Linked DNA regions of Oryctolagus cuniculus. The protein of the gene in region 1 binds, or shares a complex with, the protein of each later gene. Links are inferred from orthologs where the notes say so. Each region holds a gene or a part of one and is shown in the gene's direction. Other genes may lie near its edges.

What was found.
Region 2: SMARCD1 (region 1) and PHF10 share a complex: the UniProt entries of both Homo sapiens proteins name them as parts of the neural progenitors-specific chromatin remodeling complex. The link is inferred for Oryctolagus cuniculus from reciprocal best matches to the Homo sapiens genes SMARCD1 and PHF10.
Region 3: SMARCD1 (region 1) and ACTL6B share a complex: the UniProt entries of both Homo sapiens proteins name them as parts of the BAF complex. The link is inferred for Oryctolagus cuniculus from reciprocal best matches to the Homo sapiens genes SMARCD1 and ACTL6B.

The regions. Positions count from the first base shown.
Region 1 is NC_091442.1:53,417,517-53,422,658, forward strand, and holds the start of SMARCD1 (SWI/SNF-related matrix-associated actin-dependent regulator of chromatin subfamily D member 1), read left to right. Parts: upstream 1-1,879; 5' UTR 1,880-2,488; coding exon 2,489-2,665; intron 2,666-3,226; coding exon 3,227-3,414; intron 3,415-3,701; coding exon 3,702-3,744; intron 3,745-3,838; coding exon 3,839-3,961; intron 3,962-4,435; coding exon 4,436-4,558; intron 4,559-5,142. UniProt on the Homo sapiens protein: Involved in transcriptional activation and repression of select genes by chromatin remodeling (alteration of DNA-nucleosome topology).
Region 2 is NC_091436.1:630,214-634,788, forward strand, and holds part of PHF10 (PHD finger protein 10), read left to right. Parts: intron 1-674; coding exon 675-781; intron 782-3,792; coding exon 3,793-3,923; intron 3,924-4,482; coding exon 4,483-4,566; intron 4,567-4,575. UniProt on the Homo sapiens protein: Involved in transcription activity regulation by chromatin remodeling. Belongs to the neural progenitors-specific chromatin remodeling complex (npBAF complex) and is required for the proliferation of neural progenitors.
Region 3 is NC_091450.1:42,835,492-42,840,066, reverse strand, and holds part of ACTL6B (actin-like protein 6B), read left to right. Parts: intron 1-2,615; coding exon 2,616-2,713; intron 2,714-3,421; coding exon 3,422-3,516; intron 3,517-3,583; coding exon 3,584-3,690; intron 3,691-4,288; coding exon 4,289-4,378; intron 4,379-4,491; coding exon 4,492-4,553; intron 4,554-4,575. UniProt on the Homo sapiens protein: Involved in transcriptional activation and repression of select genes by chromatin remodeling (alteration of DNA-nucleosome topology).

The DNA.
Region 1 (5,142 bases):
ACTTTCTGTCTTGCTGTCTGTCATCTTAAGTGTCCACCTACATTCTGCTGCCGCCGGTCACCAAAGCCCCCTCCCAGTGAGGGGTGGAGGGGATCCCCCTCGGGGTCTGGAATTCGGCCCCCAAAACCAGAGAATGTACCTTAAGGGGGAGGGCTAGCGGGGGCGGGGTTTCCCCAGCCTTAAGAGACCCTCTTGGCCCAGTGACTGCCCCAAACCCGTCTCCAGGCCAGAACTAAACCCTCACTCCGGCCCCCTCACACAGTTGAATATCTGTGGGGGTGCAGGTGGAGGAGGCCCCGATGGGCACAAGATGTGGCCCTGGTGCTGTAGGCCACATTCTGATAACCTACAAGTTCACCCTCACCGGCCCCTCCCCCGGAGGCCCCCGCGGAGGGCCACATCCATAAATTTTCTTATGGAACTCCCCCAAGACTTCTTCTCCGACTTCATTTGCTTCTTTCAACGACCTCATCTGCATTTTCTATTTCTATATGATACAGACTCTATATTGCTACATCTCTGTGTATACTTTTGCCCCTCCCCTGTCTGTCTGGACCCCATCCCCTCTTGTCTCTGAAAACCATCCTCCCACCCCAAGCCTCCCAACCAGCCCCTCTGTGTCTCTGCTCCCTCCCTGGTCTCTGAATGCCTTCGCCTGTATAAAGAATTGGACTCTCTCCCCGGTGTCTGTACTGTGTACACACATCCCTCTGAGAAGCACAAGGAGACGACACGCGCATTGTAACCCTCGCACTGTCTCGGTGGCGACATAAAAGGAAGCTGTGAATCACAAACTCTGCCTCTTTCTGGCCTCACCCTCTCCCGCCAGCCCCCAGGGCACCCTCTGCAGCCTTAACATCCTCCTGCTGCTCCACCTAGCCCCCTGCCCTTGTCCTCCCAGGGAAGGGTCAGCTGCAGAGGTAGCCCCCAGCCCAGGGGACAGAGACCGCCTCTAGACACCAAGCCAAGAGTGACCAAGAGAGAAGGGAACTGGGGATTGGTGACTGTTGCAGCTGGGGCAGTGGGAGGCTGACCGGCAGAAGCTGAGGCCCTCGGTCTGTGGCCTTTCCCTCCTCCTGGGCACCCAGCCCCTTCCCCCAGCGGATACCGAAGCCCACCACTTATATTTTTGGGTTAGGTAGGATTTGGCAGTGGGGGGGAAAGACACCTAGAGGGAGTGAGTTGAAAGCTCTGTTTTTTGTCCGCCCCTTGATGAGGGACCCAAGCGAGGTAGAGGGCCTGCCCCACTGCCTCTACTAGCCGCTCCCCGCAGGCCAGAGCCCCACCCCTTCCCAGGCCTTCTCTGCCCACCTGTCTCTTGGTCTCCAGTCCCAGAGCAGGACCCGTGGGCAGGTGCCCTGTGTGCACCCGCCTGGAGCTGAAGAGGCTAGGGCTCTTGGGAATTCCTGGGTTCCCCAGGAGTTCCTTAGAGATCAGACCTCCCCGAGAGGGGTGCGGGAGCAAAGCCAAGAATTGTGCAGTGGATTGGGGAACAGCAGGCAGGACTCTGCGTGACGCATGCCACTGGTCTAATAAACTGGGTTTTAACCGTCTTCGCTTCAGTGTTGTTCTCTTCTTTGGAAAGTATCTAGTATTCCCGCTAACTGCCCAGAGCTTGGCTAGCCTTGGGGGGAGGGGGGGGGCTCGCACAATCCGGGGAAGAGGAAAGAGGAGGTTTGAACAGGGTGGCCCGGGTCCTCCTGGGATAGGAAAGGCTGACCTCACAACAGGAATGGTTTCAGAGGGAGGGGTCAAAGGTAACGAAGACCCCAAACAACTCCCAGCACAGCGGATTCTTTGGAGAAGGGCAGGGTGCAGATTCAAGTTGAAGCGGCAACTCAACATCTGGAAGAAGGTTAGGCTGCAAGTCCGCTCCAGGACTGGGTGGAAGTTCCCGCGTTTAGTGGTTATTGTGGGACTTTCTCTGAGTGCCGGGCTCCGAGCCTGGATTCTAGGATCTGGCCCGCCTGCTAACTTGCTGATTAACCTTTGCGAAGTCGTTTACCGTCTTCGAATTCGACTTTCCCATTTATAAAGTGAAAATAATGCGTTCTCCTCTTCAGCTCCTCGGGGTTAGAGCAGTAAGAGACGAAGAGAAAAGCATGCAAAGCTCTTTGGAGACCAGGCAGTTAACTCCAAATCCTGCATCAGCGGCTGGAGGCAGGATTGGGGCTGGGCTGCGGTCCCCCTCTTCCCAGGGCCCTGTCGGCCTCCCGTCGGCTGGCGGCGCCCGCTCGCGGGGCCTCTCTACCCCACAGCTCCTCTCTATGGTCTTCGCTCCGGACCCTGAAGGCGGGAGGGCGTGGCCTGCACTCCTTTTCCGCTAGTCGCCCCCCTCTAGCCCACAAGTCTCGCTGCCCTGAGCTGCCCGTGCCTGCCGGGCAGGCAGGCAGGCAGCGGACAGGCGGGCGCTCGGGGGGCGCACGCGGGGGGCGGGGGGAGTTCCGGTTCCGGTTCTTTGTGCAGCTGCCGCGGCGGCTCCGGGAAGATGGCTGCCCGGGCGGGTTTCCAATCTGTGGCTCCGAGCGGCGGCGCCGGAGCCTCAGGCGGGGCGGGCGCGGCGGCTGCCCTGGGCCCGGGTGGAACCCCGGGGCCTCCCGTGCGAATGGGCCCGGCGCCGGGTCAAGGGCTGTACCGCTCCCCGATGCCAGGAGCGGCCTATCCGGTGAGTGGGGCAGGAGGAGGGGCGCGCGGGCCGGGGGCGGGGCCGAGCGGGGGCCTGGGAGTGACAGGGGAGGGGTAGAAGTGGGAGGGACTCCCCTGGGAGGGGTTTGGGCAGGGGCCGGGGCCCGGGCCGGGGCCGGGCGGGCGGGGGAGGCACTTAGATCTCCACCTGCTCCTAGGGGTATTGTTTCCGAGGGGAGTCGGTGTACAGCCGGGGATGGGTGTCGGAGGGCTGGGCGGTGTAGATTGAGGTCAGCTTCAAAGCTAGCCGAGTAAGTGCAGGACCAGCGGAGATGGCCATGGGTCAGATCCAAAGTGGACCGGGGAGAATCTGAGTGGGCTCAGTCCGGCTGCCTCTAAGCCTTTGGGCCCTGTGTTTCCACGGAAGCACTCGTGGAACGGAGGGAGCCCCAATTACCCATATTTCCAAGAGGCCAAGGGCTCTCCTCTCATTGTCCTTGAACCCCCTAGCCTGGTTTCATTCCGAGAACTCAGGCGCCCCAAGCTTGCCCTCTCGCGGTGCGGGCCTCTGGAACATGTCTGGGTCCTCTCCCCTCTGTAGAGACCAGGCATGCTGCCAGGCAGCCGAATGACACCTCAGGGACCTTCCATGGGACCCCCTGGCTATGGGGGGACTCCTTCAGTCCGACCTGGCCTGGCCCAGTCAGGGATGGACCAGTCCCGCAAGAGGCCTGCGCCTCAGCAGATCCAGCAGGCCCAACAGCAGGCGGTCCAAAACCGAAACCACAAGTAAGCCGCCCCCCCACCCCTGGGGGGGGAGAGGGGGACTGGGAGGACACAGGTGGTGGGAGCCCCTGAGCCAGGAAGGGTGGGGGGTAGGGGGACTGCATCAGCAGGTGGTGACCTGCCACTCATCATTGGGCTTATGGGGGTAGGGGTTTTGGGGGCAGGGGGCTATCTTATTTGAGGGCAGCTTTGTGGTCCCCTCGCTTGACCATACATGGAGGTGCTGACAGCTTATCTTCCTGTTCTGACTAGTTCTAGTCCAACCTGATAACAGTATTTATCCCCACCAGTGCAAAGAAAAAGAAGATGGCTGACAAAATTCTACCTCAGAGGGTGAGTCCCCAACTGTGGGTCTTCTCGAGGGCGCGGTGAGTTGGAGGCTAGCCCTCAGGCGCCAGACCCCAGTGATCACCTTTCTGTTCCTAAGATCCGCGAGCTGGTTCCAGAGTCCCAGGCCTATATGGATCTCTTGGCTTTTGAAAGGAAGCTGGACCAGACCATCATGAGGAAACGGCTGGATATCCAGGAGGCCTTGAAACGTCCCATCAAGGTAACACACAGACGCGCCAGGCGGAGCGCCAAGAGAGGGCGCGGGAACCTGCGTCAGGCCCGGGAGGAGAAACCAAGGACGCAGCGCTGTTCTCCTTGGCATTTAAATTGCCTCTCCCCCTTCCGCCTACAAACAGGGAATTACATTAGGCGATCCAGAACAGAACAGCAAAGGGGAGGGGCTTCTGATGTCTTGTTCCAGAAATACCCCCTGTCCATGTGTTTGCTATAACTGCTCTGCTACCTTGGGAACCTGCCACTTTGCCTGACTCTGGTCCACCTGGCATGCGGTGTGCGCACACGTAGTCAGGCCCGAGGCCTGTAGTCCCCTCCTAAATGGAGTCTCCCTCCGTGTACCCAAGCGGCTGGGGAGACGGCGAACGTGGAGGAGTTAGCCTTGGGGTTCGGGGAGACCCTTGTCTTCAGCGTCAAACCACTGAAGCCCCACCATCACTCCTGTCCCTGCCTTCCTCAGCAAAAACGGAAGCTGCGAATTTTCATTTCGAACACTTTCAACCCGGCTAAGTCAGATGCCGAGGACGGGGAAGGCACGGTGGCTTCCTGGGAGCTTCGGGTAGAAGGACGGCTCCTGGAGGACGTGAGTTCAAGGTCCACCGTGGTCGGCGTCCAGGGTGGGAGTTGCTGGGAACGGAGCAGTGCTCTCTGGTCGCAGGACGCCCGGCTGCTGCTCACAGCCCCTGTGAGAGGGACGCTCTGTGCCCTGCGCTGAGAGACAATGGTTCTTTGTATCTGGCTCCTACAGCTCTGGCCCTCACGGGGGTCGAATGGAGAACCTTATTGTCCTGGGATCTGATTTGTTGTTTACCTTCCTCCTGGTGCTGCTGACCGTTGGATTTAGCAGTATCTGCAGATGGTTCTGTTGTGTGGGTTTGTTTTTTGTTTTTTGGGTTTTTTTTTTTTTGTACTTAGCATTGGAAGCCATGTTTCCTCTGAGTCCCGAGGTCCTTGATCCCCACTGTGGCCCCCCTCCATCTTCCCGACTCTGATTGGAGACACCCCGCGGGGTAGATTTCCCTGGCAGCCTCTCGGTTGCTTCCCGGGGAGCATCAGCTAGCAGCCCCCAGACCGCCCACCCCAGCAGCTCCTTGGGAGAAGCTCACCTTTCTTCTCACTCCCCTCCGAGCTGCTGGCTGGCTATTTTTAGCTGCTCGCAGGCAAGCT
Region 2 (4,575 bases), on another chromosome or scaffold:
GATTTTCTTTGCCTTAAGCTTTGCCTAAAATCTGATTAACTCAATTTCCTAATATCTGATACCTTATCCAGTCCGTTGATGGAATGGAATGGTTGAATTCACAGCCTCGGTTATTCCTGTCATGTCAGTAATTGCATAAAAAATATACAGGACTCTTCTTTTGGGGAAGTGCATGTGTTACTGTATGAGTACAATAGAGTAGGTTATATTTTTGCTATATAAGAAAAAAGTGAATAGTTAGTAACCTGATTTTAGTCCCTGTACTCACAAGTCCCCCTTTTACAGGGATATGAATACCTAAAGTAATCAGCTAGCATTGTCAGAACTTACTCTCAGTTCAGTTCAGTACTTTAAATGTTGATGCATTTCCTCCAGCTGCGGTAGGAGTGACGCCACGGTTTTATGGTTATTGGAAGCAAAAGGCATTTTAATCCTGCCAAGAAAGCAAAAATAGATTTAGATTTATGGTTAAGTTGAAAGTTTTCTTGCTTTGTTTGCAGTTTTGTGGTCATTACAGATTGTTATCCCCTTTTAATTAATAGGAAGTTAAAATTTATATAACTAGTCCTTTGAAAATGTTTGACTTAATGAGACTTTTAGCAAGTCTGGGAAAATTTCTTTATTCTTTATTATTTATTCTCTAATTAGTACTTTTTGAACCTTTAAATGTATAGGATGACAATGAAGATAATTCAAATGATGGCACTCAACCACCCAAAAGGAGGAGAATGGGCTCAGGAGACAGCTCCAGAAGCTGTGAAACTTCGAGTCAAGATCTTGGGTATTGTCCTGTCACTGCTTGTTCTCTGTGTTACTGCCTCTTCCAGTTCCCCAGCCTTGGCAAAGGGGTTATTAAACACTGTGGAGTGTTTTCTTCCTGTTTTACAATGTTACGCCAAAGTTGATCTTGCTACTGAGAGCGTCTGAAATAAAATTTATCATAGAAAATAGATAAAATGCAGCATATTAACTATACTTAAGTGTGCAGTTCAGTGTCATTAATCAGGATTGCACGACTGTTGCCCATCTGTTTGCAGACCTTTTGACTAACCCGTAAAACGCCGTAAGCGTTAAGCAATAGCCTCCATTTCCTCCTTCCCCCGACTGTGGCAACTGTCATTCTCTGTGTCCGTGAATGTGACTTTTCTAAACACCACCGAAAGCAGAGCCATGCGGTGTTCGTCCTTTTTGTCTGGCTTGTTGCACTTAGTGTACTCTCTTCCATGCAGTCTCTTACATCAGAAATGCCTTGTTAAGGCCGCGTGTGTTCATTCATATGCTGAGGGATGTTGGGGTTCTTTCTGCCTCTGGCTACAGTGAGTGCTGCAGTGAACACTGGAGTTGGTGGCAGTTCTGTTAGTCTTTGAGGAGCTGTTAACACTTCTCTCTAGGGGCTACACCATTTTTGCTTTCCCATCAGCTTAACATCCTTGCCAGTTTGTTATTTTCTGCTTTGTTTTGGTAACAGTTATCTTAAAAGGTATGGCATCTTATATTGATTTTGTTTTGCATTTCCATGATGAGTAGGGATGTTGAGTGTTTTGTGTGTGCTTTTTGGCCATTTGTTTATCTTCTTTGGAGAATCCCTGCTCAAGTCCTTCATTTTTAATTTGGGTTGTGTGTGTGTGTGTGTTTCGTTACAGTAGTTCTTTATATATTCTGGATATTACTTCATTATCAGATACATGATTTTTTTTTTTTTTATTTATTTATTTTTTTTTGATAGGCAGAGTGGACAGTGAGAGAGAGAGACAGAGAGAGAAAGGTCTTCCTTTGCCGTTGGTTCACCCTCCAATGGCCGCCGCTGCAGCCGGCGCACCGCGCTGATCCGATGGCAGGAGCCAGGAGCCAGGTGCTTTTCCTGGTCTCCCATGGGGTGCAGGGCCCAAGCACCTGGGCCATCCTCCACTGCACTCCCTGGCCATAGCAGAGAGCTGGCCTGGAAGAGGGGCAACCGGGACAGAATCCGGCGCCCCGACCGGGACTAGAACCCGGTGTGCCAGCGCCGCAAGGTGGAGGATTAGCCTATTGAGCCACGGCGCCGGCTCCAGATACATGATTTGAAGGAATTTTGTCTCATTCTCTGTTGATAGTGTGCTTTGATGCAGTTTTTTTATTTTGATGAAATCTAGACTATCTTTTCTTTTGTTACTTGTGGTTTTGGTATCTTATCTAATAATGCATTGCCAAATCCCAGGTCATGAAGATTTACTGTGCTTTCTTTGAAGAGCTTTCTGATAGCTTATATTTTGGTTGTTGCTTCATTTGAGTTAATTTTTGTTCTTGATATGAGGTCAGGGATCAAATTTCATACTTGTGCACGTGGTTATCCAGTTTTCCAACACTAACTTTGAGAATACTGTTTGTGTCAGCTTCTTTGTAAATGGGTAGTTGCAGAAGATAGTGTCCCCTTCCTGCCTGTGGGGTAGAAGTTGAACGGTCACAGGTGCTGCTACTTCAGCATGCGGTTGACTGCGTGTCCTGCTACCCGTGTAGGTGTCCCCATTGCCTCTGAGTTTGTGGAGGGCGAGAGGACAGGTTATCCTTTTGTTGGGCTCTCTGAGGAGGGGGCTTCCAGAGCTCGACTTCCTCGGCTGTGTGTGACTCGCTGAACAGGAGACAATCAGAAGTTGGTTATACCTAGCGGTCGAAAGGAAGACTGTGCAAAGTGTTCATGGGAAATGCATATTATGGAAAAAAAGCAGGGCTGGTGGTGGCATGGTGTTGCGAGTTAAATCTTTGCGTGTGACACTGGCATGCCGTATCAGCGCTGGTTTGAATCCTGGTTGCTTTGCTTCTGATCTGTTGCTCTGCTAATGTGCCTGGGAAGACAGTGGAAGATGGCCTCATTGGCCCAAGTGCTTGGACTCCTGACACCGATGTGGCAGACCTGGATAGTGATCCAGGCTCCTGACTTCAGCCTGGCCTGGCTCCAGCTGTTGTGGCCATTTGGGGAGTGAACCAGCAGGTGGATTCTCTCTGTGTAACTCTTTCATATGACAAAATAAGTATTTTTTAAAAACAGAGGAAAAAACGTCATGGATTTCAAATTTTGCACTAAAATTCTTTATTTAATTTCCATCTTTCATGAACTTTTTGAACTGCTCTTTTTTTTTTTTTTTTTTTTTTTTGACAGGCAGAGTGGACAGTGAGAGAGAGAGAGACAGAGAGAAAGGTCTTCCTTTACCATTGGTTCACCCTCCAATGGTCGCTGCGGCTGGTGCGCTGCGGCCGGCGCACTGCTCCGAAGCCAGGAGCCAGGTGCTTCTCCTGGTCTCCCATGTGGGTGCAGGGCCCAAGCACTTGGGCCATCCTCCACTGCACTCCCTGGCCACAGCAGAGAGCTGGACTGGAAGAGGGGCAGCCGGGACAGGACCGGCATCCCGACCGGGTCTAGAACCTAGAGTGCCGGCGCCGCAGGTGGAGGATTAGCCTAGTGAGCCACGGCACCGGCCTTTGAACTGCTCTTATACTGGTAATGAGTCCAAGAGAAAAAATTCAGAGCGGTAGCCACCTTGCTTTGGCCTCGTAAGTCTGAAAGTGCCACGTGAGTCTCCTTCTTCTTGGTTTATAGAAGGTGTTACTTCCAACGTGCCTTTTGCTTTGATACTTCAGATAATTGTTTCTCTTCCTATTACCTGTTTTATATTTTTTTGGCTTGTCACAACATCAAGCCATAACAGGCAAAGAATTTAAATACTTAAAAGAGCTTTCAAAATATCCTCAAAAATTAGAAGTGATAAGTTTGATGGAAGCCACATTGAAGACATAATGTGTATCTTTTGTGCTTAGCTTCAGTTACTATCCAGCAGAAAACCTGATAGAGTACAAGTGGCCACCTGATGAAGCCGGAGAGTACTACATGCTTCAGGAACAAGTCAGTGAATATTTGGGCGTGACCTCCTTTAAACGGAAATATCCAGGTACTTGAGTCTTAGCTGTGTGATAATGAAATCTAACTTCTTAACTAAGAGTAGTTTTTTATGATAGCTTATCAACCACTGAATTCTTGGATGTGGATTATTGGTAATATATATTTTATTCTTGTGCGCTCTGATTTTCATTTATTGGCATTCAGCTTCTCCACCTATTGATGTGTTATTATGTCTCACGAACTGATATAAAAGCAAAATGAGAAAGGGGACTTTCCTGGAGAAATTTAAGACAAAACCCATCTCTAGCCATGAGTTTGTTTTGCCACTGCTCCTTGACTTTAGGAATGAGTTAGTACAGAAGCCATGCTTGAGTTGCAGGAGGACTACCTTTGATGAATTGTTCCGTACAGTTATTTATGTTATCTTTGGGTTATTCTGTTTTCAGTTTTATTCCTTGAATTCAAACAATTTTTGTGTAGCCCCTTTAACAGTATTTGAGATACATGACATGAAGTACTTTTAAACAGAAAATTTTTAAGCTTTTGTAAGTTTTATAATGCATAATGCTTTACTGTTATTAATAGTCTTCTGTTCTTCCCTTTTGGAGATTTAGAGAGACGAGATTTGTCTCATAAGGAGAAACTGTACCTGAGAGAGTTAAACGTCATCACAGAAACTCAATGCACTCTAGGTAATAGAA
Region 3 (4,575 bases), on another chromosome or scaffold:
TTTTTTTTTTTTTTGGACAGGCAGAGTTAGACAGTGTGAGAGAGAGACAGAGAGGAGAAAGGTCTTCCTTCTGTTGGTTCACCCCACAAATGGCCGCTGCGGCCGGCACACTGCGCTGATCCGAAGCCAGGAACCAGGTGCTTCCTCCTGGTCTCCCATGCGGATGCAGGGCCCTAGAACCTGGGCCATTCTCCACTGCACTCCTGGGCCACAGCAGGGAGCTGGACTGGAAGAGGAGCAACCGGGACAGAACTGGCACCCCAACCGGGACTAGAACCAGGTGTGCCGGCGCCACAGGCGGAGGATTAGCCTAGTGAGCCGCAGCACCAGCCACTCTTTTCTTCTTTTCACAACCTGAGGCACTACTCTTTCTCAGGTGAAATTCACATGACATAAAATTCACCTTTTTAAGTCAATCATTGAGGGGCAGGCATTTGGCATAGTGGTTACGACGCCACTTGGGATGCCTGCATCCTACATCAGAGTGCCTGGGTACAAGTCGCAGCTCTGCTTCTGATTCCGGCTTCCTGTTAGTGTGCACCCCTGGGAGGCAGCAAGTGATGACTCAGTTATTTGGATCCCTGTCCCCCGTGTGGAAGACCTGGATTGAGTTCCTGGCTTCTGGCTTCAGCCTGGCCCAGTCTTGGCTGTTGAAGGATTTGGGGGAGTACATCAATGCATGGGAGCTCTGTCTGTCTCTCTCTCTCTCCATATTTCTGAGAAAAAAGCAATTCCATGATTTAAAAAAATTATTAATATAAAGAGAACAGATTTCGTGTATTTCTTTTTTGTTTTTCTTTTTTCTTTTTCTTTCTTTATTTGACAGGCAGAGTGGACAGTGAGAGAGAGAGACAGAGAGAAAGGTCTTCCTTTGCCACTGGTTCACCCTCCAATGGCCGCCATGGCCAGCACACTGCGGCCGGCGCACCGCGCTGATCCGATGTCAGGAGCCAAGTATTTATCCTGGTCTCTCATGGGATGCAGGGCCCAAGCACTTGGGCCATCCACCACTGCTTTCCCAGGCATATTAGCAAGGAGCTGGATCAGAAGTGGAGCAGCTGGGACTTGAACCGGTGCCTATATGGGATACTGACACTGCAGGCAGAAGCCTAACCTTCTAGGCCACAGTGCTAGCCCCATGATGTTTAATGTAATTATCATCACTATCTAGTCAAAATATTTTCCTCGTCCCTAAAAGGAAATCCCTTCCTTGAGATAGGTTTTTTCCACTGCTCTCTAGCCTCCAGTCTGCTGTCTCTTTGGACAGATCTGTGCCAGGCCTTTCCTATAAAAGGAACCACATAATCTGTGACTTTGGGTGTTCTTCCCCCACTTAGCGTAATGCTTTTTAAAGTGCATCCAGCTTGCAGCGTGTGTCACTGTGTCATTCCTTATTAAGGCTGAATACTGGCTGGCGCTGCGGTTCACTAGGCTAATCCTCCGCCTTGCGGCGCCAGCACACTAGGTTCTAGTCCCGGTCAGGGTGCCGGATTCTGTCCTGGTTGCCCCTCTTCCAGGCCAGCTCTCTGCTGTGGCCCGGGAGTGCAGTGGAGGATGGCCCAAGTGCTTGGGCCCTGCACCCCATGGGAGACCAGGATAAGTATCTGGCTCCTGCCATCGGATCAGCACAGTGCGCCAGCCGCAGCGCACTGGCTGAGGTGGCCATTGGAGGGTGAACCAACGGCAAAAGAAAGACCTTTCTCTCTGTCTCTCTCTCTCACTGTCCACTCTGCCTGTCAAAATAAATAAATAAATAAATAAATAAATAAATAAAATAAAAGGCTGAATACTATGGAATCTATTACAGTTTATTTATCTTTCATCCCCTGGGGGCCATTTGGATCAATTCTGCCTTTGGCTATCAGGGACAGTGCTGCTGTGAACATTCGTGTACAAGGATCTGAGTACTTGTGTTTAGTTCTCCATCACATATGACCCAGAGTAGAGTTGCTGGATCCTATGGTAATTCAGTGTGCGTCTTTTCGGGTAATCACCAGCTGAACCATTTTACATTCTCACCAGCAGCGTGTCAGGGTTTCTGTCTCCACGTCCTTGCCAACACTTGTTGTCTTCTGGATTTTAGTTACATCACTCTCTGGTGGGGGTGAAGTGGTACTCATTAGCCTTTTGCATTTGCATTTGATTATGGTTTCCCTGGAGTCCTGGATCAGAGTAAAATTAGATATGTGTGTTCAATCTACCATTATTAACCCAGAAACCCCGTCTGCTGCTTTGGGCTAGACGGAGGTCTGGGAATGGCCTGAGAGGGGTACTGCCAGAAAAGAGCCCTTAGGCCACGGTGCAAGGACAATGACTCCGGACACAGCTCCGTCCAGAGCTCCTGGGTGATCTTGGGCAAGTCTCTGAGTTTTGCCTTCCTCAGCTAAGTTTGTGCTGTGACATTCTTGACAGCTCTCACATTCTACAGATCCGTGTGAACCAAGGCGCTTGATCTGTGTCCCCTGTCAGAGTTGTGTGTACGTATGTGTGCGTTGATGTACGCATACGTGTACTAGTGTGTGTGTGCGTGTGAGAGTATGTGTGCACCCCCATGCACGGCTGTGGGTCTGGGCCTCTCCCTTGCTGACGCCTCCCGTCCTGCACTTCCTCCCCAGTGGAATACTCGGGCCAAGAGGGAGAAGCTGACGGAGCTGATGTTCGAGCAGTACAACATTCCTGCCTTCTTCCTGTGCAAGACCGCCGTGCTCACCGCGTATCCTCCGGGTTGAGCTGCTCCGCCTGGGCGGAGGACCAGGGTGGGGTGTGTGGAGCGCTGAGCCGGGAGCTGGGCTGGTTCTCTGAAGATCAGTGTCGCGGGTGGACAGACGCCTCCCTTCACCCCACTGGTGCAGAAGGCCCAACGGGTTGAGTGCATGGGGGGCAGATCAAGGATCTTTCCTCATTCCTTGGATCAAGCGGAGTAGAGAGAGAGTCGGACAAGTAGACGGCCGGGGCTGGAGCTGGAGACAGGGAGGGGGATATGACACGGAAGGGGGCTCCTTCCCAATCAGCCAATCAGCGTAAGACACGGGGGGGGGTCCCTCCCAATCAGCCAATCAGCGTAAGACACGGGGGGGGTTTCCTTCTTAAACAGCCAATCAGCGTTGCCCTTTCTTCATGGCCTGCCTTGCCTTGACCCCCGCGCTAGGCTCTGGGGTGATAGGATCGCTTAATTTCAAGGCGCCCGTAGGACACAGAGCTAGGCATGAAGAGCTGGGAGTTCAGAAGGAAGAGAGGAAAAAGCTGTGACTCAGACAGGGAAGACGGGGGTCTTAGGAGCCTCTCGCAGGAGTTGCGCCAGGGGGAGGGACTTGCAGACCGGTGGGCGGGACGCAGGGAGAGCAGGGAGTGACCGAGCCAGATCTGAGTCCCAGTCCCTACTGGCTGCTGCAGTCTCTTTGACCCACCCGTCCCACACCAGCTTTGCAAATGGACGCTCCACGGGCCTTGTGCTGGACAGCGGGGCCACACACACCACGGCCATTCCAGTGCACGATGGCTACGTTCTGCAGCAAGGTGGGGGCTCGGCAGGGGCTGGGGGTGCCCTCGGGAGGACCGGGTCCTGACGCTGCTTCCTCTTCAGGCATCGTCAAGTCGCCCCTGGCAGGGGACTTCATTTCCATGCAGTGCCGCGAGCTCTTCCAGGAAATGGCCATCGACATCATCCCCCCATACATGATTGCAGCCAAGGTGGGGCCCCCAGGGACCCGGAGCTGCCACCACAGAGTCCCAGGCGCTCACCCTATGCCCGTCAGCCCCCTGACCCATGAGCCAGCAGGGTAGAAAGCAGTAGGGCCCCCAGGAGACCCTGGATCCAGTTCCTCCATTTCCAGTCGAGGCATCCGAGACCTGGCCGGGCTGAGGGACATGACTGAGATATTATGCAGCCGGCCGGCTTGCAGAAGGACTGTGCTGTGGGTTCTGGGGTCCAGCAGACCCAGGTGTGAGTTCTGCCTCTGCCTCTGAGCTGTGTAACGTCAGGAACGGTGTGGAAACTCCCTGAACCTCAGTGGAGAGGACTCTGGGAGTGTCCAGTGATACAGCATGCACCTCTCATGAAACACAGCCCAGTGAAAGGCCATTCCTGGAAGCTTCTGGTCTCCCATTGGCACCCATGCTGTGTGACCCTGCCCGTTCTCTCTCCTCTCCATCAGAGAAGGGTGAGGGACACCTCTCCAGGCCCGCAGAGCAAAGATCCCAAGCCAGCCAGCCTAGGAAGGCAGGTGCGGTCATTTGGGCTAGACAAGCTTGGGCTGGGCTGGGGTGCTTAGAGGCTGTACCCCTACAGGAGCCTGTTCGAGAGGGTGCCCCCCCAAACTGGAAGAAGAAGGAGAAGCTACCTCAGGTCTCCAAGTCCTGGCACAACTACATGTGCAACGTGAGGCACTGGGGAGGGCCCCCTGAAACAGACCCCTCCCCAGAGGCTCTGCAGGGGGGTGGAGGTGGATGCTCGGGAGCCAAACCAGGTCCTCACCCCTCCCCGGTTCTCAGGAGGTGATCCAGGACTTCCAGGCTTCGGTGCTACAGGTCTCAGACTCCCCCTACGATGAGCAGTGAGTGGGGCTCGGAGCTGGG